Arabidopsis thaliana: one gene and its partner. The protein of the gene in region 2 interacts with the protein of the main gene of each other region in a pairwise test. Each region holds a gene or a part of one and is shown on either strand. Other genes may lie near its edges. The genes, in order: AT1G22800 and AT4G35905.

What was found.
Region 1: the proteins of AT4G35905 (region 2) and AT1G22800 interact in a two-hybrid assay, tested with the Arabidopsis thaliana proteins (one large-scale study listed by BioGRID).

Annotation. Positions count from the first base shown.
Region 1 is NC_003070.9:8,064,688-8,077,874, reverse strand, and holds AT1G22800 (S-adenosyl-L-methionine-dependent methyltransferases superfamily protein), read right to left. Parts: upstream 6,087-13,187; 5' UTR 5,856-6,086; coding exon 5,664-5,855; intron 5,569-5,663; coding exon 5,485-5,568; intron 5,371-5,484; coding exon 5,292-5,370; intron 5,213-5,291; coding exon 5,071-5,212; intron 4,960-5,070; coding exon 4,890-4,959; intron 4,791-4,889; coding exon 4,726-4,790; intron 4,627-4,725; coding exon 4,548-4,626; intron 4,468-4,547; coding exon 4,380-4,467; intron 4,280-4,379; coding exon 4,125-4,279; intron 3,950-4,124; coding exon 3,836-3,949; 3' UTR 3,518-3,835; downstream 1-3,517. Other genes in the region: AT1G22830 (Tetratricopeptide repeat (TPR)-like superfamily protein), read right to left, coding at 1-954; AT1G22810 (Integrase-type DNA-binding superfamily protein), read left to right, coding at 2,906-3,340; AT1G22790 (Low affinity potassium transport system protein), read right to left, coding at 6,583-6,652, 7,024-7,604; PFL (Ribosomal protein S13/S18 family), read right to left, coding at 8,712-8,817, 9,084-9,272, 9,538-9,698, 9,883-9,885; GI (gigantea protein (GI)), read right to left, coding at 10,428-10,745, 10,860-10,952, 11,045-11,263, 11,565-11,633, 11,746-13,187.
Region 2 is NC_003075.7:17,001,685-17,014,251, forward strand, and holds AT4G35905 (Trm112p-like protein), read right to left. Parts: upstream 6,583-12,567; 5' UTR 6,384-6,582; coding exon 6,283-6,383; intron 6,191-6,282; coding exon 6,136-6,190; intron 5,678-6,135; coding exon 5,600-5,677; 3' UTR 4,957-5,599; downstream 1-4,956. Other genes in the region: FD (Basic-leucine zipper (bZIP) transcription factor family protein), read left to right, coding at 3,062-3,769, 3,905-3,982, 4,197-4,268; AT4G35910 (Adenine nucleotide alpha hydrolases-like superfamily protein), read right to left, coding at 7,133-7,181, 7,352-7,746, 7,847-7,925, 8,027-8,148, 8,424-8,510, 8,604-8,952, 9,035-9,330; MCA1 (PLAC8 family protein), read right to left, coding at 10,422-10,474, 10,558-10,651, 10,906-11,012, 11,120-11,191, 11,322-11,437, 11,607-12,019, 12,098-12,508.

The DNA of each region.
Region 1 (13,187 bases), on a different chromosome or scaffold from region 2:
TATTCTTACATTGCAATTTCTCATCCCAACAACACAATTCAAAGCCCCTATGTAATTTCCTGCCTCCAAACAACCTCCAGCTATTGTGTTCCAAGTTACAATACTCGCTTCGACACCAGAGAGATACATTCTATCAAGAAGCTTAAAAGCTTCCCCTAACTTTTCTTCTGAAGTATAACAGTTGATTATTGCATTCCATGAGACAGCATCCCTTTCAGACATCCTGTCAAACAATCTCCGAGCAACATCCACTTTACCAAATCTTTTATACATAGATATCAACGCGTTGCAGACATACAAGTTACACCTGTGAGAGCTAACCTCAATAGAGCCATGAACAACTCTCCCATATGCAAAATCCAGTAATGCTGCACAAGCCTTGATAACAGACGGGTAAGTAAATTCATCCGCTCTAATTCCTTTACTCATCATTCGCTTGTAAACAGAAACAGACTCCTGAAACCTTTTGTTCCTAATATACGAACCGATGAGCACATTCCACGGCAAGGGATGCAAAATCTCAGAGTTCTCAGTAATGGTCTGAGCTTCGTCAAGGAGATTAAAAGCAGAGTAGAAAGTGACCAACTTTGGGACCAAAACAGAGTCAAACTCCAAACCCGACGAGATACAATGAGCATGAAGTTGCTGGCCAGGAACAAACTCATTAAAACCCACACATGTAGATAGAAGAGAAGCTGATGAATACAAAACGAATTCATGAGAACCAGACTGGTAGCGAAGTAGAGAGAAAGTTCTGAAAGCTTCATATAATTGACCATGGGAAATGCAATGTCTAAATGAATTGAAAAGCACTTGTGGAACTGATTCATCATCATGGGTTTTGGAAGTTTCTGAGATGGGTCTCGGCAGCTGTTTCCACGATTGAGGAATAAACTTGCAAATTTCGGATACAGTGAGACCTCTGAGTATAGAGCGAGAAGGAGAAGACGGCATATACAGTAAGCTGCATATGATGGCAACGAATGGATTTTGATTATTGTTCCAAGACTAGTTTGATCCATCAAAGCGAAAGTTCAAGCAATTTTGCTTCTCCGTCTGAAAGTCAAAGGAAGAAAGGTGAGAAAGATAAAAAAAAAGTTTCGTTGAGGAATTTCATCGAACATGTGGTGAGCGAAACATACCGTATACAGACGAAACATGGAAGTATAAGTACATCTAGAGAAACATAAAAGAGATAAGACAGATGTCATGTAGGAAGAAAAAGGAAAGAAGACAGTGATTCGGAGACAGTATCGACGGAACCGGACGAAGCGAAAGTAGGAGTAGCCGCGCGTGAAGGTTATGTAGAAAGAGACTCCTTTTTGACATTTATTCAATGTTCTGGCATGTGCTCAGATGATTTGGGCCGCTTGTTTAGATTTGTCCACTTCCAGACCCATTGCAATTGTAACCCATTTTAGCCCACTAAAATCTGACTGTAACAACTTTATAAATTTATGGTTTTTTCAAAATATTACCAAGGTTAAATAAATCGTGTTAGATGAAGTTGGCACCAGTTTTTGATATTACAAAATGAGGTCACTAGTATTTTTTTTATAAGAACTTATAATAAGTAATTTATTAATTGCATTATTTCATTAATATTGATTTTATATATACTGATACACTAGGGTTTTTATAAACATTTAAATTGTCTAAAATCGCATAGACCAACCGAGTAGGTGTGAATATTTATTGTCAGATATCAATAATCTGCTAGACGTTTCTAAAAACATCTCTAATCGTAACTTACCAAGTTACCTTTGAGGTTTCTTCTAAATGAGTCGGTGACTATGATAAGACGGTGTATCACATCACAATCAACTCCCAAATGTCAGTGTCGAGAAAAACCTAATCAAGTATCAACTACAAAGAATTGGTTATGCATCCGAAGGATGAAAACACATTAAATACATTATGAGACTGGGTTTCTCCGTGGATGATTCGTGTTTTGGATGTGGTTGTGTGTGAACTAAAATTTGACAACCATGTACATGAGTCAGCAGACACAGAAGAAGACAAAAAATAACTTTTTCCAGTTAGTTTGGGCTGTTGTGTCTGTGTGTTGTCCGTGGAGAATCATTAAGTCATTACAGATCTTTGGTCAAATGCCAAAAATAAAGGACCCCCTTTAGACGGTGCTCATGTCACGCATGACGCAATTTGTAACCAAAAAAGGCAAAGAAAGTCTTTCTTTATCCCACGTGGTTTAACCATCGACGACGACGTTTTCACATTCTTCATCGGTGGAGTTTGAATCGACTTTTGTGTTTTTCACTGCTTTTCTCTATACTATTATGTCATCACCTATTTTACAGATTTTTATGAAACGAAATAGAGGATATATAGTAGTATAAAATTCTAGATTTCGACTTAAGACTTTTTCATATAAAAAAAAATGAAAAACCTATAAATTAAGGTAACCTAACTATGATATACCAAAGCAACAACAACAAAAAATAAAGATTAATTTTCTATTTTAAAAAAACAAAAAATATCATTTATTTTGAAACCAAACAGAACGGTATATATACCACTTGTTTTATAGAAATGACTCTTACTTTCTAAATACATTGAATTTACTGTTAGACACAGCAAAAAAAAAAGTTACAACTTGAAAGAAAAAAAAATCGACTAGTCAGGCACATGTCAAATTGGTACCACTAAAAAAATGGGTCATACTTTGACCAGTTGATTTTTTCCTCGAGAATTAACTAGTTTTATAATTGGTCAACTTCATTCTCATTCTTGATTCATATTAAAAAATATTATATAATATTTTGACTTTCACTAAACTTCAACGTATAAATAGTCTTTGTATCTTCATATTCAAACATAAACAACACTCAAAAGTCTCTTCTTCTTCTTCTTCTTCTTCACATCGATCATCATACAACAACAAAAAATGGATTACAGAGAATCCACCGGTGAAAGTCAGTCAAAGTACAAAGGAATCCGTCGTCGGAAATGGGGCAAATGGGTATCAGAGATTAGAGTTCCGGGAACTCGTGACCGTCTCTGGTTAGGTTCATTCTCAACAGCAGAAGGTGCCGCCGTAGCACACGACGTTGCTTTCTTCTGTTTACACCAACCTGATTCTTTAGAATCTCTCAATTTCCCTCATTTGCTTAATCCTTCACTCGTTTCCAGAACTTCTCCGAGATCTATCCAGCAAGCTGCTTCTAACGCCGGCATGGCCATTGACGCCGGAATCGTCCACAGTACCAGCGTGAACTCTGGATGCGGAGATACGACGACGTATTACGAGAATGGAGCTGATCAAGTGGAGCCGTTGAATATTTCAGTGTATGATTATCTGGGCGGCCACGATCACGTTTGATTTATCTCGACGGTCATGATCACGTTTGATCTTCTTTTGAGTAAGATTTTGTACCATAATCAAAACAGGTGTGGTGCTAAAATCTTACTCAAAACAAGATTAGGTACCACAGAGAAACAATCAAATGGTTGTGAATATACATTATAAGGTTTTGATTAATGTTTGTTTCACTGATTTAGTGAAGTTTGGTCCATTGTATACAAATCTATTCAAGAAACCTAGCGCGAGATCATGTTTCGTGATTGAAGATTGAGATTTTTAAGTATTCGTAATATTTTTGTAAAATACAAATATGTTTCTGATCAGCTATTATTCGATACGAAATACATGGGCGAAAGCAGGCGTCCTAATTGTGATGCTTTCGCCCAGTGAAAGACTCCGACAAATCTACAAGAGTTCCTCCAAGTACCTTATAGCTTAAGTCACTGATTTCTCTCTCAAGTGTCATTTGTAAAGTCTCTGCTTATTGAATGTTTCTCTTCTTCAATCATTCCATCAAGATTGTCCGCCAAATTGCTTTTGGAGATCCGTGAAGGATACGGTGGCTGAACCTCTTCGTTTGGCCTGCGGGTGAGACGAATGTTCTCTCCATCCTGTCATGTAAATCACCTACACAAGAATGCCAAACGATATATACTTTAGGCCTCAAATGTTGTTAATTTCACTTGTAGTATTTAGCATAAAATTGTTTTAATCATGGATTGTAGCAAAACAACTTGAATAATGAAGCTAGGTTATGGGTTTTTTTCACTGTTGAGTTAGTTCTGAACTATTATGGACAGACCTGAAAAGTAGCGGGTATAGTGCCGTCCTCTGTGGCAAACATGGAGTCATATATGGCTGCCGTGGCAACAGCAGTTTCACGATTCAAAATCTTGTTTCTCTCGAGAAGAGCATTGGTTTCACCCATCGCACGAAGATGCTCTATAAGATCCATCGCTGAGTAGAAAGATATAAACGAGAAGGCAAATCAGAAATAATTCTTGGAAGATACACGTTGTTGCAAACGATGAAGTAGGAAAAAAGTGGAACAGTTTACCTCTCTTGTATTTAACTACATATTCATCAACATCAACACCAGGAAGACTAAAACCCGCCCTGGTCAACAGATTCCCTGCGTCCCTAACCTGAAAAAGAAAAGAGAAGCCATGTTCTTTCACCTCAGTACTAGAAATCAACTTGATCTTGCTAAGATATTCACACACACCTGTGCCAAAGGTGATAGCCGAGGACTAATCCCTCCTTCCCGCTCCATGTGAGCCAAAGTGCATGCTATTCTCAGCTCCCTTGTAAATAATTTCAATACGTAAAGGCTAATCAGAAACATGATATGGAATAAGAGACTCTACATTGAGTATTGATTTGAAATGAAAGAGAGGACAAACTTTAAGGTTTCTCCACCAAGAATTGCTGCTAAAAATAAGCCATCCGGCTTCAGTGCTAGCTTGCACTGCAGTTATTACAATCCAAAACCAACACATTATAAATATTTTCTCATAGGACAAACCAATTCACATACACCAACAAAAAGCAACGAAAACGAGAAAACCTGTATCATGGATCCAGGAAGATCATTTGTCCAGTGAAGCCCCAACGAACTAATGATCAAATCAACCGAACTTCACATACAACATATTTGACAAGATATTAGTAGGTAATAGAACTCTAGTGAGTCGCAGCAAGGGGAAAAAAACAAAGAAAAACAGGTTTTACAATAACGTCCTTGTTACCTCTCTTTGACTGGCAGAAACTCTTCATCACCAACAAAGTAAGAGGTTTCAATGGAGTTATCGAGTGAATCGTCTTGAGCATCTCTACATGACTTAATCATGTCATATGAAGTATCCATCATGATAAGCTTCTCAATCCCACCTGTGCAACAAAGCCAAAAATCATCATCAACAACACTCAAAATGCAGAACCAGAACAGTCAAGAGAGAGATAAACTAACCGCGACCACGTAGTAATCTCTTAACAGCACCAAGAGATCCTCCCAAACAAAATGCAGTGGGAAAACTCTTCTTACAATCCTTAAGAAAGAGCAAAAACAATATTTACTAAGCTTGATTGAAATCGAGAAATTTAGCCCCAAGAGAAGCTAAATTGCTCTCTCAATGGCGAGCATGCATCAAACAAAAGAGTACCTCTAAGCGATCAAGTAGATTATCTGCAACAGCGTCAACAAAAGAATCGTTTTTTTGGCGAGAAAGCCACGCCGCTCGATCACGCTGCAAATCAATCGAACACACAAATTATAAGAACTCGAAATCTGGATTAATAATAAGAGAGAGAGGCAAATGTAAGATGAATTCGAACACTACACATGTATTCGCTTGAGGTCTCGGTCAAAGATCTTGACTTTGGAGCTGTTCTGCTGAAACTCACCGTCACCGCCATAAGCACCTTCCGTAGAGAAGGAGAGAGATGCGAGAAATGTATGAGCTTGCTTCGTAGATTTCTCGGGTACTCGTTTTAGGAGACCAATTCTTCCGTACAGTGAATTGATCCTCCGCATCTCTATCTCTCTATCTCTGGTTCTTAGCTGCACCGGAATTGGTCGGACGGAGGTTCTGGGTTTGGTTTGAAGAAGAGACGGTAGATTTCTCTGTCTTGTATTCTTTCATTTTGATCCCTGAAGTTTATCTATATTCTATAATGTTTCCCTATTGTTTTTAATTTTACGTTTTAACCCCTATGTTGTCATTAGAATCAGATGGATTATCAACTTTCTCTGGCAAAACTGTTTACGCCTCCAAGATGGTTAAGTACTTGCAACCAGAAACGCTATGGAAGCTGGTAATTGGTAAACAATTAATACAACAGAGGACTCAAGATTCTTTGTAAAGTCCATTAAATGTTTACATGATTGATCAGTTCCTTAAGGACAATGTGAACGATAGAACTAACGAACATGGTGGATCGTTGCGAAACCATTGCAGATTCGCTTTGCAGTTAGTGGACTAGTTATATAAGCATTCTAGTTTTGTTGTACACGTACGTAATGTGGTTGAGAGCGTTACAAGAACAAGAGTTATTGCCACTCTCTTCCACTTTGCATCGATTTGGATGTTGTCTTATCGTTTTTAGAAAACAGAAACCCGGAACAAGTTGCCACTCAAAACAAAGGGAATAATGTACAAGCCAAAACCTTGAAGAGAACTTTTGTAATAACAGATACACTTTAAATATATGAGCAATGCACACAAGACATGAGTAAAGAGTGATACCGATGATTTCTGAATTTACATGATCACACACGAACATGTTCTTTGTCGTCCTACCTCCCATTCTTCATCTGATAATCCCATCTCACTGCAACCAAAATCAAGTTTGTTTCTTGGAAGTTAATAACAAACCGTGGGAGGATCACAAAGAAAAGGAAACACAGCTAAATGTCTCTACAAAACCATGATGTGTAACAAAGAATATATATATGTAGTGAGTTTGCCGGGCACTACGCACATGTGAAACTCTGAAATCTAAATGAATTAAAGGATATCCATTTTGAGCAATAGGGGTTAAAGCTCAAGACTAACATTCCTATTTGCATAAAACAATGGATCTAATTATACAAGCTCAAGATTCACAACAAGGATCCTATTGGCATAAAACAATGGATCTACTTAAATTAACTCGTATTGGGATTTAAGCAACTCAATAAGAGGAAAACATATCACACGTACCTCGGCTCAAATTCTCTAACTTGAGTGAGTTCACTACCACAAGCATCAGGCCACTGAACTTTCCGCCTTGCCATGTCACCAGTGAGATCGCTACCATCCACACTCAACGTCTCGTATTCTTTTATATCTTCTAGAGAGCGTGATTCCGCAACAGAGGGCCTCTTCAAGCTACTCCTCAACGAGAGTTTGAAAGCTTCTTTGCTGCTGCCATTATCAGCTTCACTTATTTGGTCTTTACCCTTTTCAGAAACAACAACAACAGACTCTGGTGATGATATTTCACGATGCTGCTGCTGCACAGGTTCAACTTTAAGAGGAGAAGGGGTCTCAAGTCCCGCGGAAGCGCCACCAAAACAACTGAAGGAAGCAGCGCAACCGCGGGAAACTCGGTTCTTAATAGAATCCAGCTGAAGAACAGGGTCAGCCTCAGGCTCTTGGTCAACCACCTGGTAGTGATTCCACGGGACAACTCTCATGGGCCTATCTACGTCTTTATCACCAGAGAAAAGAAGGGTCAATCCCTTACTATACCCAGACGCGGACGCTGAGAATAAACCCCCTCCTTCTACTGCCAGTAACATTAGTTGCTCTATTCATCTGACGTACATTAAAACCCTGACAATATCCCCCTCCCTTCCTGCTCACCACCGAGCACCAAATATAGCCACAGATTCAGATTCAAGACACCTGAAGCTAACAAAGACAAAAATCAAACTACAATAGCTGAAAATTCACAGTTATAGCATTGACACATACAACATCTTACTTGCTAAATTGACTGGAACCACCACTAAGTGAAGAAAAAAAAGTTTAGAGGATCTTAAATAAATCACTTAAACTCAAAAGCATGGATCAACTTCAATCATGGAGGAGATCTAAAACGCAAAAAAAGAGGGAAAAAAAACAAAAAACAAAATCTTAGTAGAGATAGTGTAACGAAACGAAATGAGATTGGATCTGTAGCCGTAAATTTCTTCAGATATAGAACACTAGTGAATTGATAAAGAGAAGAGATTATATTAGAAGATCTACAAAGCCATTTTCGAATCATGAGCAAACAACTGAACAAGAGTTTAAACATGCATAAGCTACTTCAAGCCACCGAAAGAATACGAATCTCAATTCAAACCTCGTCTTCTTCATCGCTACTACTCTTTGCTGGATTTTTTTCTCGGGAAAAATCGAAAAAAAAAAAAGTGAATTCACGCACCTGAGAGATCAGCTCGGGAAGAGAATCGATTACTTTTTGGTCAGCGCCGGTGGTTACGATCGTCGCTTTCTCGTTCGCGTGAATCAAGAGGCGATGAGAAAGAGAACAAGTGAAGAAGAAGGAGAGAGTAACATGAAAAATTAAAATGATCAATTAAGTTCAGTAAAGTTACTGATAGTGATTAAAACTGATAACGATGTATTTGCGCATTATAGAGACAGCCGCTTGTGACACTTAAAAGTTTTCTCTAATTATATAATTCTTGCGTATGGAGGAGTGTGCTATTATTAACTTTGTTTAAAGCAGATTTTGAGAGAAGAGAATGTAATAAATAGAGACTAGTTTTTGGATTCAATTATATATTGTAAAAGCTAAGACCGTCTTTTGATGAAACAACATCTCTTAAACTATCTCTTCTGCAAAAAACAACAATACAAAAAAAACAAAACAAAGCCATTGAACCAAGCTCAAACTCTTTTTAACGCTTCTTGGAAACACCAACAGTCTTTCCACGGCGTCCGGTGGTTTTGGTGTGCTGTCCACGTACACGGAGACCCCAGTAGTGCCTCAGACCACGATGGTTTCTGTTTACATTACAGTGACAATCTCAGTCAGTACAAACAAAGTTCTATATCGATTATCAGAACAACAAGAGAGAAACAAAGGATGCATCAGTAAATCATTACACTACAGATTAGGTTTTGTTGCCGAAAATGAGTGTATACATGATTTAACACAAGAGTTGTGTACTTAGCTTCTTCCATATAGAAAGTTATGATGGGCATCATTATACTATTAACATGGTATCTAAAAACTACAGAGGAGAGTGTCTGTATGTGTTGTTTGTTACCTGATCTTCTTGAGACGCTCAAGATCATCTCTCAACTTCATGTCAAGAGCATTGGAAACAACTTGGGAGTATTTCCCATCCTTGTAATCCTTTTGTCTGTTAAGAAACCAGTCTGGGATCTTGAACTGGCGAGGGTTAGCAACGATTGTCATGAGGTTATCAATCTCAGCAGCACTTAGTTCTCCAGCCCTGAATATACCAGCAAAGGAAAAAACATTTAAAAACACACACTAGACCAAACTTCTTCAAGAATATCAATCTAGAGAAGTTCTATGTGCAAAGAAAACCTAAATATCTGATTTCCTAGAAATCAATCAAACCAGATCGAGCAGGTACAATTCTAGTCAAAGAGCTACATTTTCTACTAACATCCAAAACCTCGCAAGATTCATAATCCTTATCCATAGAATTCCTAAGTAACTGAAAGTATTAAGAACCAAGCTAAGAAACAAACCTCTTGTTCATGTCAACATCAGCCTTCTTGCACACAATGTTAGCCAATCGCCTTCCAATACCCTTGATTGAGGTCAAAGCAAACATAATTTTTTGCTTCCCATCGACATTAGTATTGAGCACACGCAGAATATGCTGAAACTCCTCGTTCGCAACTAGAGACTACACACACACGAATACGAAAAAAAAAAAACAGATCCGTCAGTCGCAAATCGTGTAAGGGAATACAAAAAACATTTGAGCTTAAAACTCCAATCCCAAAACCAGCAATGAAAAACGAGCGATACGCAAAATGAAGCACGAGCAATTGGAGAACCAGACAAGAGTTGAAGAACGATAATCGTACCATTTTTGGATGCCGAGAAAGATCGCGAGAGGAGGATTAAGCTCTTTTACCAGACTCTGGAGGCGCCACCACAGCTTAAGCTCAGGTCTGTTATAAGCGGCATATTTAGGGTTTTCCAACCTAATATGAAGCTCCTGTAGTTAATTACTAATTTACCCTTTAATGTTTTTTTTGGAGGAAAAAGATTAAAATACTATAAATTATCTTTTGCAATATTAATTTTTGCTGTTTTAAGAGTATTCGGAAATAAGTAAATTTGTAAATTTTTCACTTCTATACATTACGATTTAGAATCCACTGAAGACTAAACACCAGACGCACAAAAAAAAAGATTGAGCTACTTCGTCATTTAAAATGTACAGAGAAGAGGTTGAGTTATATAAGACACCGAGCGAGAGCAAATCCAACGCCGGTGGGAGTGATTGCGTCAGTCACTCATCATTACAACATTACATACAACAAACTATATATATATTCTTCTTGGTCTACGTCCAAATGTTTTGTCTAGAGAACTAAAATTTACCAAAAACAAAAGTGGGTGCTCGTTATTGGGACAAGGATATAGTACAGCCGAGTTCCCGAGCCGCAGTGTCGAGAAACTGAGTAGGCATAGTTGTGGAGAGCAAGCTGTGAGCTTCCCAGTTTAAACAGTTTTGGATATCGGCTTTCCAGTCTATTGAGGCGGCGTTGAAGAATCGATAGGACGGACTATTCATTCCGTTCTTCTCTGTTGTTGGCAGTTTTGGAGTTACTTTGATGGGTATGGAGCTTTGGTTCATGATATCACGTAGTACTGACGTGCTTAAGGCACGTACGTGTGCACTTGGGTGTGAAAGGCACCGTATTGTTGCTGGTAGACGACACTGCATAGAAGCAAAAAGATGTGAACAAGGTTAAGCACTTTGGTAACTGGACCTACTACTGATCATCTACAATCGACGCAGGAAACCATAGGCTCTGTTCGATTCTGCTTTTACCTTCAATAGATTGGATAAACCGTCGACCACTGCTAGTCCAGATGGCCCCCAAGCTAGCACCGGCTGTATTGCTCTTGCCGTGGCTTCAAGTAGCTGCAAAAGTTTAAAATACAGTGGAATCAGAAAATGATTATTACTCTAGCCCGAAGAAGGGCATTGAAGAGCAATCTATAACAGTGCAGTACCTCAAGTTGAGGTAATGTACAAGCTTCTCCATCAACAAGCATTCCATCAGTTGCCCGCAGAAGAAGATCTGATGCACTTGCGAGAATCACCAGTGACTCAGGCCTGTCATGATTGCGCATGAGTTCCACCAACACTTTGACTATCCGTTGGTTGATTTTCCACATTTTTTGGCCTTCTTCATCATCTTTGGCGATCCAAGGCTGCAACTCCCTTTCAGCCTGTAAATAACACAAGACCATTTCAGACAATAGAGCATTAGAGTAAATCCTTCAACATATGAGCTTGAAACAAGCCATTATTTTACACAGATTTTTTCTTCCTTATTTCCTATCCTTGGCATATTAAAACAAGTGTTGCATATAAATTCCAAGCTTAATTTTTATAAATTCATGAGAGATCAAATGAGTGAACCAAGCATTATAAAACATTAACACAGGCCATAGGTTTTCCGCAGTTTAATCTTTACACAGGTGTTGCATTCCTGACAAATGAAATAAAAAGTCAAAGAGTAATTTGGACCTGAAGGACAACTGCTGCTGCTGCTTTCGCTGGCGTTGCAGATACGACATTGCATAGCGCATCAACAACCTGATATATAAAAAATATGATCAGTGTATGAAGTCGAGCGACTTAATTGGATTAGTAAAGAACTACCAAGGAAACTGTAAGCGAGCTGGGAAATAGAAGTGCTGAGGTTTACCTGTCTCCATCCTTGTTGCGCAGAGGTGCTTTCTGCGGTGGGCTGGATTTCAGGAGCAGCAATCAGTTTGTGCCATAACAGTGAAACAACGGAGAAAGACAGCTCCGGTTTCTCTGCAAGCACTGACCTCAAAAGCTTTTGTGTACCACAATAGAACCCTGCGAGTCTATCAGCTGTGAGGAAATTCGCAAGATCAGAAGCATCCAAGAGGAAATCTTTGATACCCTTCTCTGAGGGTCTCCCTGAGCCTTCATCTGAATGTCTAGCATACTTATGGTTTCCTCTTGGATTCATTTCAGTCCTTGAGGCGGATGTCACCGCTGTATCAAAGCATGTGGTGCTTGCACATGTGTTCTCTTGTTTCCAGTTTAAACAGGTCACAGAATCCTTCTGAACCGGTGTATTCTTAAGGTAGGCTTCCAAGGGTTCAGCTTTGTCAACAATGGAGGCAACAACTTTGCTGTGAACATCTATGAGGTTATATAATGATGATGCTCTTTTATGAATTTCCTTATCCCACTTACATCTCATCAACCCAGACAATGCATGCGTCAAGGCCTTTGAACGTCTGAACAGTTCGGAAATATGAGCTGCAACCATGGCCGCAGCAACTATCTCACTAGAACTGTAACTCCATGGAGTCCCCACAGAAGATGGTTTTAATGAAAAGAGTGCCTCTAGGATTGCCAAAATTCGGCGCGTATGACTAATTGCCGAGTCAATCCCAGCTCCATACTCTTTAGATGACCCATTTATCTTTACAGGCTTTGTAATAGTTCCAGCCACGGCAGAATTGGAAAAGTTCCCCCCACCAGAGATCATAGGATACAGCTGAACCTCACAGGCAAGAGCACAAACAGCAGCAAGAACGTATGAATCAAATGCTGCCACAGGTCCCTGTCCCTTGACATTCCTACTTTTACGGTTAGCAGTTTGATTGTTAGATACAGGTTGATTCGCCTCAATATTTTCAGTAGTACTAGCATATTCACTTCTCGGTCTCTTGCTACCACTAGACTGTGCTTCATGGCTAACACATACAGTCAACACAACAAAAAGTAGGCGTGAAGCTAATTCCACACCAGCGCATGATTCTAAAAAGAGAGCATGGACCATAGCACGAAGCTCAGACATAGCAAGATTTTTGGTCGCTGATCTTGTGGTAAAACTCGATCTAGCTTTTCTGGTTAGTTCCCTGGAAGATTCAGGCGGAAAAGTTCTACTGAGTATTGTTTCCACAGTGGCAACAAATATTTTCATCAAGCATGCTTCCGAAGGACTCCCCCGTGGAAGATATTCAAGTACTTTGAGGAGTGGAATGTATAAATTCCATGACAAGATAGGAGGTTGCAGTGGGGTAGCAACTATGATTTCGGGAAGATCAACCGCCGAAGAATTTAAAGGGATCAAACCATAAGCAGCTTCCCATATAGTGCAAATTC
Region 2 (12,567 bases):
TAGATCTCTCGTAATAATGAAAGCTGACTTTTCTACACCTAAAAGTCTAAGACGATCTAGTTATCCAAGGCCCTCTCTACTTGATTTAGTCATAATTATATCTAATTAAACACTCACATAATATCAGAATATTCTATATGTTCACCCAAATGTGGAAAATAATCAGAAACGGCCCAAGAATAGGTTCAATGTCACAATCCATGCGAAACAAAAAATCAGAACTATTCTTGATAGACTAAGAAAATAGTAAACCCTAATTCACAAAACACACCAAAAATATAGAAAGTTGTCTCAATTATTCTTACCATTTTGGAGATGTCAAGTACACAATCCCACCCATCTTGACTATCCAACGGTTAGCATTCTTTTGGCTCTTTCAACTCCAAGTTTTTTCCTTTATTTATTTTTATTGCTAATTTTAGCAGTAAATTATTACGTCTACTTTGCTTCCGTACGGTCTAGAGACAACCTACGGACAGATGATGATTGTACATACCAGTAGACTTACAGAATCCAACGGTTATTGAACTCACGGGTCATTCATATTGTTCGTTGGATTATAAATTTGAATGTAAACGAACATGAATAATTAAAAACAAGTTGAGATTTGTCTCTTCATCAAATCAAATCACTTGTCCACCGAGTTCGAGTCTTTTTTCAAGCCAACGAGTCTATCTTAAACCCTTTTACGTCTCTAAATATATAGAGATGTAATTAGTATTTTATTTCTTCACCACCAAACAATGTTTTATAATTGTAGGAAATCGAGATATATAAAACAATGAATTATTTTGCACTTACTACTTTTGGTAGGCATATTTCATGTTGTATGATAGTCCGGAAAATTTTATATAACTTGCTAAAACAGAATTTGTTTCCATTTATATGCATTGTTTAAAAGTAAACTAAAGAGGATATTAAAAGACAGAGAAATAGATTTGATGGAGTTTGGGACAGAGCAATATAGTGCTGACACCTGTCCAATCCCCTGAGACGTGACATGTCACACTCCTTTCTTATACAACTTACAAGTTCTCTGCACAATTTTATGATACAATGGACATTTGAATTCACTCGTTACAGACTATACCCCAACTTTATTTTGAGTTTATTTTGCAAAAATGATTTGAGACTGGGAAAATTTGTTTTATTTTCGTCAATGAATATGCGTAGTGACGTCGATACTAACAAAAGTACTACTCTTTACATTCGAATTTTTGGTGGTTGCGAAACGACAACAAAGATCTATGAAATTTGTGTTTCACATTAAAAACTCAAAATGTATTTTGAAACCCAATGTTTGGAAACATGTAAACAAATTAAAGTCTTTGTACTTTTCACCAACAAATGGAAAATATATATCTTCTAACAAATATGAGTATTTGAGGAGCTTGCATTTTCGATAAACAGCTCCTAATGTAGTACTCTTTGCATGTTCAAAAGATGGGACGTTTCCTTGAGGGCTGATTTCAACATTCAGAGAAAAAAAATTATATACATGTACGGAAATGAATAGTTAATCTTGTTGAATAGAATAAGAGAAGAGGAAAGAAAAACAAATATCGTATGTTATTATAGTTTATATATAATCAACTTGCAATAAAGGAAAAATTTGAAAAGCGTGACTAGATATGCACTTGGAGACTGACTTACATAGTAGATACGATAATCGAATATCTAGATATCTGGATGGTACTCATATTATTTGTTTATTACGTATGATCAAAGATTTATTAATATGTATCATCTTCTACTTGGCTTAATTATTAACTAGTTTAGTATTCGTCTCTAATCTTCAAAACAATCAACATAAATATCTAAACTATATTGGTCATATAAAATCTAATACTTTACTATCCACTTGTAATGTTTGTTTTGTTCAGAGTTGGAGACCCACATAAATTGATTTCCCTATCCGTATTGTAAAACAGACTATTGACACTTTGATCAAATCTCGTTGGATGACATGAACACCAATGATTTGAAGTGGGGAACAATTCAATAGTTAACAATATTTTTGTTATTTAAATGCATTTCAACTATACGGTCGATATTATTTGAAATGTTTGCAACTACATATTTAAGAAAACGTTAAGTGCAAATGACCCGTTCTTAAACACTCCGAATCTCATATAAAATAAAGTTTTTTTGTACTAATCAAACATATAATTTTCAGACTTTTAGTTTTGATAGAAACAAATTACATATACGAACACCCAAGTACTACTTTTTATATTCGATAATATTATTCTATCTTCGTTTAAAATATATTAACCACATCAAGAAAAGAGGAATGAAATATTCTAACGGAATTAATGTTTGCTGCCAAAAACAAAAAAAAAACAGAAGAAATTTTTACATTTGAGTTTATTGGTATAGTAGTTAGGATTTTGTGTTTTATTATATATTTAAACGAATTTATTTAATTATTTCTAATACAGAAAGATGTATATATTCTTATCTACTTTCATTTTGTTTTTAATGTTTTATTTCGTCAATACCCTTAGGGGAAAAAAGTGTATTTTGGCAAATTTTCCTTAAATCTAAGAGCAAGAACAAAAATTAAAGTCACACATGAAAGTTGAAAGTGATCCAAAGGGATTTGATATTAGAAAATAGAAAGTGAGATAAAACCAAAAATAATTTTATATATTTGCCTGGCTTTTTACAAGCATCTCACCCCCACTCACTCTTTACATTTAAGGATGATGAAAAATACTTCACTTTTGAAATAATCAAACACCATTTTTAATCTTTATAATAACTCTGACGTTGAAGACATCAACAAACACCTTTAATTACATATAATAGTTTATGGAATTTCTCTTCTTCTTCTTGAAATATATTATTTAATTGGAAATAGTTCAATCCCTCTGTCTCTTCTTCTGGAGTCTTGGACCCAACCCCATCATTCCAGAAATGACCGGCTAAAGTCAAGAACCTCTCTCTGAGCTCTCACCACTTTCTCTCTCTACTCCCTCTCTGCGTGTAGGATACTACTAGACAATTGACAACCAAAGACTAAAGCTGTGTTGTTGGTTCACTTCTGTTCTCTTTTCCAATGTTGTCATCAGCTAAGCATCAGAGAAACCATAGACTCTCTGCTACAAACAAGAACCAGACTCTCACCAAAGTTTCTTCCATTTCATCCTCATCACCATCGTCTTCTTCTTCATCATCATCAACCTCATCATCATCTCCTTTACCTTCTCAAGACTCTCAAGCCCAGAAGAGATCTCTTGTCACCATGGAAGAAGTTTGGAATGACATCAACCTTGCTTCCATCCACCACCTAAACCGACACAGCCCTCATCCACAACACAACCACGAGCCAAGGTTCAGGGGCCAAAACCACCACAACCAAAACCCTAACTCAATCTTCCAAGATTTTCTCAAAGGATCTTTGAACCAGGAACCAGCACCCACAAGCCAGACCACGGGTTCTGCGCCTAATGGCGATTCCACCACGGTCACTGTTCTTTACAGCTCTCCTTTTCCACCTCCTGCAACTGTTCTGAGCTTGAATTCCGGCGCTGGCTTCGAGTTTCTCGATAACCAAGATCCTCTTGTTACCTCAAACTCTAATCTTCATACCCACCATCACCTCTCAAACGCTCATGCCTTCAACACCTCTTTCGAGGCTCTGGTTCCATCCAGTTCTTTTGGTAAGAAAAGAGGCCAAGATTCCAATGAAGGTTCAGGGAATAGAAGACATAAGCGTATGATCAAGAACAGAGAATCTGCAGCTCGTTCCCGCGCTAGGAAACAGGAATGTGCCTCTCCTCTTCCCTCCTAATCTTCTTCTACTCATGTGTATCAAAAAGGGAAGAAAAGAAATGTGGTTTTGCCATCAAATTGCTTTTGATCTAAAAAAAGGTCTCTTGGTTTTGATTCTCATTTGCAGGCTTATACAAACGAGTTAGAACTTGAAGTTGCTCACTTGCAGGCAGAAAATGCAAGACTCAAGAGACAACAAGATCAGGTAAACAAGCAGAGCCAAGTTCTTAATGTTTTACCCTTTTGTAGCACTCATGTCATTAGATCAATTCCTTGTAGTTTAACCAACTTATAAAAAGAGACAGACAGACAGCCTCTGGAGTATATTTGTTTTACACACTTTTTTGTCCAATGACATTTTGGGTGGTTAGATTCTGATACTTCAGTTGTGTGTTTATTATGTGTGTGTGTGTGTGCAGTTAAAAATGGCTGCAGCAATTCAGCAACCCAAAAAGAACACACTTCAACGGTCTTCCACAGCTCCATTTTGAGAAATCTACAAGTCCTTGTTTCTCTTTTGGGGATTGAGATTGTCTCATGAAGAAGTGAAAAAATGGCAAAAGTTTGTACCCTTTTTTATTAGCTATAAGTATAACTAAGCCTAAAATTGTAGAACTAAGATATTGTAGGGGAAAAAAGAAGATGTAAAACAAAAGACCCGGAAAGAGAAAAGGATCTTTCAATTTCCTAAGGCACAGGAACACCTGTCCTGGGTCCTCTCTTAATGTTCTGTCGTTTTCCTATGCAAACCCTTTTTTCACTTCTGTACTAACTTCTACTTGTATTCTTGTTGTAGTAATGTTCTACTTCCTCTTCTAATACTAGTAAGAAAAAAAACCTTATGTTTTACTGTTTAACCAATTTGGTTCTTAAAAGAAGCAAAGGATCAAATGACCAATAGACAAAACAGTGCTCCACTTAAATGATGACAATACCAGAGAAAAGTGAGAAGGGGACCTATCACTGAACATTTAATTTTCTCCCTATCACATTATCACATAAATATCCAATCCTTTGGCTGTCTACCATACAAGCCAACAACTTGCAATATGATTTTGAAACCTCCAAGCCAATGGGAATTAAGTTCACCACTTTTCGGGTTGGTCAAGAGAGAACATGATAAGTTTCTTATTCAGCATGGTCACTCCCCACGTTTTATTTATATTCATAGTACATAGTATTGTAGCTTTTGCTCTAACTGGTCACCATCAAAAACACTAGGTGTGTTTGTATTCATTTGGTTTATCAAGAGAATAGTTTTTATCTTCTTTTGGCCCAATTTCATTTACCTGACAGTGATAAGTCTTGTTGATCCACTTTTGGTTGTTGATATATTGCTGTGTATTCTTTTAAGCAACCAAAAGTGGACATCAAGAGCTAATATGGTGTAAATATAGTGGACATTAAGATAAAGAAGAATAGTTACCAAAAGTGGGACTATGACTAGAATCTATCCTCACATTATATGGTTACACTTAGAGCCCCTCAAATAGGCATCCAATACTTTAAATCATGCTTCTACTTTCATTCCAGTCAATAAGAATCCTAGACTTCAAGAAACTTTAAACGAAAAAGTTGGTTTATTCACCTGAAACTACACACCTATAATGTTTTTCAATTGGTTACATCAATGTTTCCCATCAAACATTCATACTTAAAAATGCTACCAGAACTTGGCCACAAGCCTAAAAGAGAGTTTAGAAGAGATGATCAGGTAACTAGTACAGAGGACAGAACGAACCATTGATAAGTTGCTGCAGATACAAGCTGATACCTTCACTCTGACCATTTTATTTCTTTTTGGGTGCAAAAGCAAAAGTCATTAAGCTTTTGATGCATCACCTTCCTCCTCAAGTATTTTTCCATCCTTTGGAACCAAGCATGGAATCCCATCTTTGATCTAGCGTGTTAAGAGAAGCAAAATCAAGTCTTAAACATTGAATCGTGAACATGAAGTGAAATCTAAAAAGAACAAGAAGAATATCATTAAGAAGAAAACAGCCGACCAATCACTTTAGCATATGATTATTCCATCAGTGAATCCCAAATCAACACCAAGAATAAATTCATTTTAAACATTATTTAGTATGAAGCAAATGAAGAATAATGAAAGAATCAAAGTCTATATATATATACACATCTCAATCTTTGATTAGACAATTCCTAAAAGATCAAAGTTGGGTTGAGAACATGTTCACTGAATAAGAGAGCATGATTCTGAAAGCAGATATGATAGTGATTTCGTACAATTTCACTGTTTGGAGAGTTAATAAGCGCCATAAATCTAACTTTCATGGAGCTCAACAGCTCACAAGCATCTGAATCGAAAAAATCAAAAAGCTTTGGATAGAAGCTTACAGGAAAAGAGACACCAATAGTATCGCTGACAAGTGATTTCGTCTTCTCGCAAAACCTATCAGCAATCAATTCACCAAATTGCTTAAACAAGTTCTTCGGGACCAATCGAATTTAAGCTATGTACATTTTGAAGGAGAGAAATCGAACCTCAGAGGTTGCTTAGAGAGAGGGCACACCAGAATCTCGGAGAGGGTCTTGTCAATTACATTGCCGGCGTCTTTTAGCAGCACTCTGTTTAGTCTCACCATTCTAAAGCTTTGATCTTTAGCTCTCTCCGGACTTTTTCCTTTTTTCCGATCTCCGGTAGAATCGACCGGCGTTGAGCGATAGTTTTGGACTTTTTGAGTAAAAACGCAAAACGCCCCTATAAATTTAAAAGTTTCCAACCATGCCCCTCAATTTTTATGTTTCACAAACGGTCCCTTCAATGTGTATATATTATTCTAGCTAGGGGAGAAAATTTTCAAATATAAGCCTCTATATTTTATAGTTCTTGTTTGATGCCCTCAATTCTAATTTGTTGACCATTCGTCCGTCGGACTTTATAAATTGATCAAACATTAAGCGCTTCGTGTTATAATGTCTATGGGACATTGGTTAGAATTTACACAGATTTCTTATCCAGCTATTGGAAGATGTTGATCACTTGCACTCTAGATTAATGCTCCTGAATCTCTGATTCTGCGCATAGAAATATTACAAAACTTGATTCTCGCATCACCCCTAACAAGTTTACTACTTGTGTTACAAATTGTAAACTTCCCATGATTCTTGTATTATATGTGTAAAACTGTAGATGCTTCATTCAATTGCTCAGTGATTTTGCTTCACATTGAGACAATCATTGTAACGAATGAGTAAAAACACTTTTAACATCTACGATGATATCAGATCGACATTAAACTAAGATGATCTTAGGTTTCTAGGAATAATCCTTGATAAGCATGACAGGATTTAAACTTCCTCTCATACCTTGTGCAAGCATCCGAATGCAGATTTAGACAACCTCTTCATCGTCCAAGAGCAGACAGTCTTTAATTTTCTCCCTGAAATAAATGGAAACCAATGTTAGGAATCTCAAATAGTGTTTCACTCAGTCTTGATCTTGGTTGTTTTAAATCTGATGCTTCCTAGAGACATGAACTACCAATAATGTAGGTAAAACGAATGGAAAAGGAATCCAAGTTTGAGATCAGAGTTAATGCATACTACTCACCTCAGATAAGCTTGACTATCAACTTTTTGATGTTTCACTTGGGAAATCATGTGATCTGGTAGAAATGAACTGAATTGCTCAAGAGATGATCCATCCTGTGGAAGTATTTGAAACCGGCAACTTGAACAGCAAGCAGCATAGAGGACATCAGATTCCTGGCCTTCTTCAAAAGTATCCAACTCTGATGAGTCTGATCTATTTAGCGGGCCATTGCAGATAGGACAGAAAGCTTCAGTAGTCATTGATCCATCATATTTGAGATTGAATCTCTTTAGGCGCCTCTGAGTGGCCATAGGTACATTAGAGTCGTCTGTTTCCGGAATTTTATTGAAGTAAAATGGAGTCAGCTTCGCAGCTGTCCGTACAATTGTGCATTCCCGGGAAGGATTTTCTTCCTGCACAACAGAACCCAGAGACAAATGAATCAGTAAAAACAAAGTAACAGGTAACCATGCATGCACTTAAACATATGCAGAAGATGAACATTATCTGAACCTGCAACAGAGCGACAAATGAAGACACCAAATCATTGATTCCGCATTGAGAACGACAAGCCAACTCCACAGTCTTAAGTCTGCCCTGCCCAGAATATGTGACGTCACTCAATAGTTGGATTATGCAAGAATAAGGTTCACTATAACAATACAATGTAGACTAGGCAGCCAATAAACGAACCCATCCAAAAGGCAGAGTCTAGTTATTTCCAGTCGAACACAATCTCGAAGTGGAAGTACAATGGGAACCTTCCATCTAGCATCAACATGCTGAATATCTGCTGATAGTGAATAACCTCGTCCCTGTTTCAAGAAAAAGCAATTCAACTCACAATTCTGATAGAACATAGTCTAAAGGGAATGTCCAAATAAAGTACACAAAACATTGTGTACTGAAATAAAATCTTTACACCAAAACTTCAATTTTTAGAGATGTAATTGGTTAAGTCCAAAATATCTACATTCTTTAAGGTAGCCATTGATTGCTTTCTGGCATGAAGTTCTCACTCTAAGATGCAATCTATAGAATAACTAAGCCAGAGGAAACACGAGTCAAGTCAGGGCACTAAGCAACACACCTTGACAGTAGCCGTAAGAACATGGGAAGCAATTCTCGACGTGCATGATCCCAACACTAATCTATTGTACCCATTTTCAGCGGCAACCTAAAAAGGTTTATCAAACAACATTAAACAAAAGATATTTCCAAATCTGAATTTCTTTCCCAGACAGAAACAAAAGCAATATAATGTCCAAACCTTTTGCAAAGATAACATTTTCAGATGCAGCAGAAGGTCTTCTTTTCCAGTATCGTCAGGAACAGAATCTAATAGCTTCAGAAGTCTATCCCGTGCGTCAAGAGAGTCTGAACCAAATATGCTTTCGACTGGAACAACATGGAGATCCTTAGCAGGTGGAGACAAACACGAGACAGTATATCGAACCCACTCAATTGCATCAATCATTTCAGTGGAAAGAGCAGGAAAAGCTGCAGTTTCATCCACAAAAGCAACACCAACACCAAACACAGGTAAAGATCTATCTCGACTCGCCTCGTAATTCTTCAAAGCCTTGATTTGCAACTCGTGCACAAATTGAAGAGAAACCCTAACATCATACTTGCTACGTTTAGACACCAATCAATAACATATCAAAAAACAGAAACTAAAGGAAAAAAAGAGAGCAAAACCTGGAAGATGATCCGCCAGAGAAAGCAACAAGGACGTTATCTGAAGGAGTGATCATAGCATGAGAAGTAACAGCAAGACGGAATTTCCCAAAGACATTGTTCCTAAAACAATCTGCGCAGAATCTTCCATCGTCGAAGCCACCGTCACCAAATGTCATAGGCGCATTGCATTTACACTTGACGCAGACACTCTCATGATTACCGCCACCAGATACTGCATCATCCACTATCTTACTTCCATTATCTTTCTCACGGTCATAGCAACCTGACTCACAGCCTGAGGAATTACAAGCCATTTCCAATTCGCAAGCAGCTGAAACTGTGGAAAATTTAGATTAGGAATTACAACACAAAGGAGTAGACAATGCTATCAACATCTAATTCACGAGACTTAACTACTTTCCGCCATTAACGAGATAATTAAGAGATTGTTACTCTAAACGAAATCATTAGTCTTTTTTACTCAATCAGTATATAATCAATCCTATTACACTGTATATTGCTAAGTCTTGCTATAAAGCGAATATATTGAATAGATAGCGATGTGTGCACATTCAAAATCGAAACAAGCAAATAAGTGATTAGTTACCAGTTTGAGAGAGAAAGAGAGTCGTCGCGATAAAATCTTTAGCAGCCCCAGGTCAGCCTCAGGCGGCGCCAAAACGTTATGCGGTGGTTGACTACGGCGATATTGGTTTAATTGTTAGAAAAATGTCACTACTTTGTCTGAAACTAGGGTTTAGAGAAAGCAAGAAAAATTGGGGAAGAAGATGAAAGTGGTTATTTACGAGTCTACCCATACCGGTGAGACGATTAGTAAAGAAATTATGGTTTGATAAGTATTTAAAAGATGCTAAACCGTAAACATGTAACCATCCATTAAAAGGAACCGACAAGTTTTGTCCAATTTGGGAGCAATAGAAGAGAATCATCATCAGTCATATCAATTTTGTCAATGTTTTAGGCTTTTTAGTCATGGTAATGATACCTCACATGCATTTCTTCATCTCTTTTCTTCTTCAAAGAATTTTCCTTAATTTGCTATTGTAATATTAATATTCACCCACCAGCAAATTGTATATGTTCTCCTTGATTCATAAAAGAAAACTACTATTTTGACCCAAAACACAAGTTTGGTTCAATTGGCCATCCGGTAAACCTAATACCCTATCTTGTGATAAAAGGTTGAAATAAGAATTAGTTAGTCTATATGTGATACACACAACACAAATTGCTGAAATTAAGATGAGAATCCCAAACTAATTTACATACGACTCCACGATTTAACACAATAATATTAAGTGAGTAGTACGAAGAAGAATCTCGTCTCGTATCCAGAGTTACAACAAATCGTTGTTTTTGTTCACCTTTTGTATAATAGAAGATTTCAATGTTCCATGAACTGCGACGAAGGCGGGCTTATTTTCGTCTTCTCCGTACCTGCAAAGATATGAGAGACAGATCTTTGTTAGTGCTTCAAGATTGAAACAAATATTGATAATATGTTTGTATGTAAATCATACCATATGCCCCACGAATCTCAACTTCTCTCAGTTCTTGTACAAGGGCACAGCAACAACACATTACATGAGATAGAAAATCGTCAATGAATCCTCCCTGCGAAATCAGAAAACATTAAGCATTCATTCCGACTCTACATTGAGTGGCATAAACATAGCCATTTCAATCTCAACCATGATAGTTACTACTGAATTTTTTTGCAGGTGTCTACTTAATCTTTAACCGAAATTTCATTTGTTGTTTATGGTATGCAAATGATAGAAATTTTCTCGGAAGCATATAGATTTTTGGGATCAAATGGGATTAATGGTAAGGATTCAAGCGAGTGGAAGAGAATGAGAATGTAATACCGTGATGTTCAGTGTCTTCCGGAGTTTCCTCCTCACGCAACAAGTATAGCAGCAACAAGAAAGTATCAAAGAATACGCCATTAGCTCATTACATGCTTCAGCTGAAGCTGGGAGAGCGAAAATTAAAAAAAATCCAGTTGACTTATTAGCTTTCACATGTATTACTAAAAGATTGAAAATTAATAAAGTCACGGTATTCAATAATATCCCTTACAGATGTGCCTGTTGGATGCTGCAGTGGCAATCTTTGCCAAAGTACCACACGGGAAAAAGAATGTCTTGAAGCCTGCGGTTCCATCATTGAATCTTTGAGAACTTTGCAGATAACAAGGAAGTATAGAATGTGAAACGCTAATCATCTATGTAACAGAGAAAACAAAGTGGAGCCACATTGTAAACAAATAGTGTGGTCTTACAAAGAGAAGGTTCCGAGCAACAAGCTAGTAAGTCGGTATGCCATTCTTCATGGTGTTGTGCCTGTGATGCTCTTCGTGAAAGCAGATCATGCCCAGATGAAACATTAGAAGTGGATCTGCATGGAACAATTGTGTAACCGATGTTATAGAACATTGTACCAAATCTTAGCCTTCAAACATGAAAACAGACCTAAAAGCATTACAGTCACAGCAAAGAATTGAAGATTATACTTTCTTAAACTTGTAAGGAAATTTGGATCTTTAGAACAAACATGAGATTCTAACCTCGAAGCTGCACGAGTACTGCTTTTCTTGGGAGAATCTTCGTCATACGAATATTCCGTCTTCATGCTTGAGCTACGTTCAGATTTTTTGGAAGCTTTCTTTGTCAGCTCCTTCTCAGAGTCAGGTTCAACAGCAGCAGCAGCTTGTGTAACACCAATTAAACGCTGAATGACTTCACACTGAGCCACATCATAATGCTCCTGCGACCGCTGAAGTTCGATCTGCAGTTTCTCGTTTTCTGTTTTGAGAGCTTCACAGAAACGCAAGTTAGGGTATGAGCAAGAGAGAGTCTTCTTCAGTACTGATGCTGCTTCTCTGGTGGATTCTTGTTTCAAAATAACATCTTGCACATGTCTATCCTCTTCATCCAGAGTGTACTCACGCTGATCACGGTCAATATACTCAAACCTCTCCTGTATAACAATCAAAATTTCAATATACCATAACATCAAGCAGAGAAACTTGTTAGACCAAAATGCAGGTAAAATTACCCGAATGCGAGCGTTATCGACCAAAGTGATGAGAGGTATGATCTTAAGAAAACGATCAATCTCATCCTGATGTTTCCTGAACTGGTAAACAATGTTCCAACCCATAGCCAACAAGTAAAGATAGCTCCGGTCTCTACAGCTATTGACCAGAAGGTAAGACCTTCTCAAAGCATCCTCAAGCCCTTCGAGAGGCTCTCGAGTCTCAGGATACTTCTTCATCTCAGAGATCTTCAGCTGTTCAAGCAAATTCCCAATGAGTTTGAGATGTTGAGCGAATTGACGACAATTCTTCTTATGCATCCAAGCAGTATTCGCAGCTTTGACTATGAGACCAATCAACTTGACCGCATCTAAACCAGTCAGCTGAGCCACTGACGCAATCTCCCCAAGACCATCCCATGAATGTGACATTATCTTCTTCTACTCAAAGTTCCTGGTCGATAGAAACCGAATCATCATTATGCACAGGA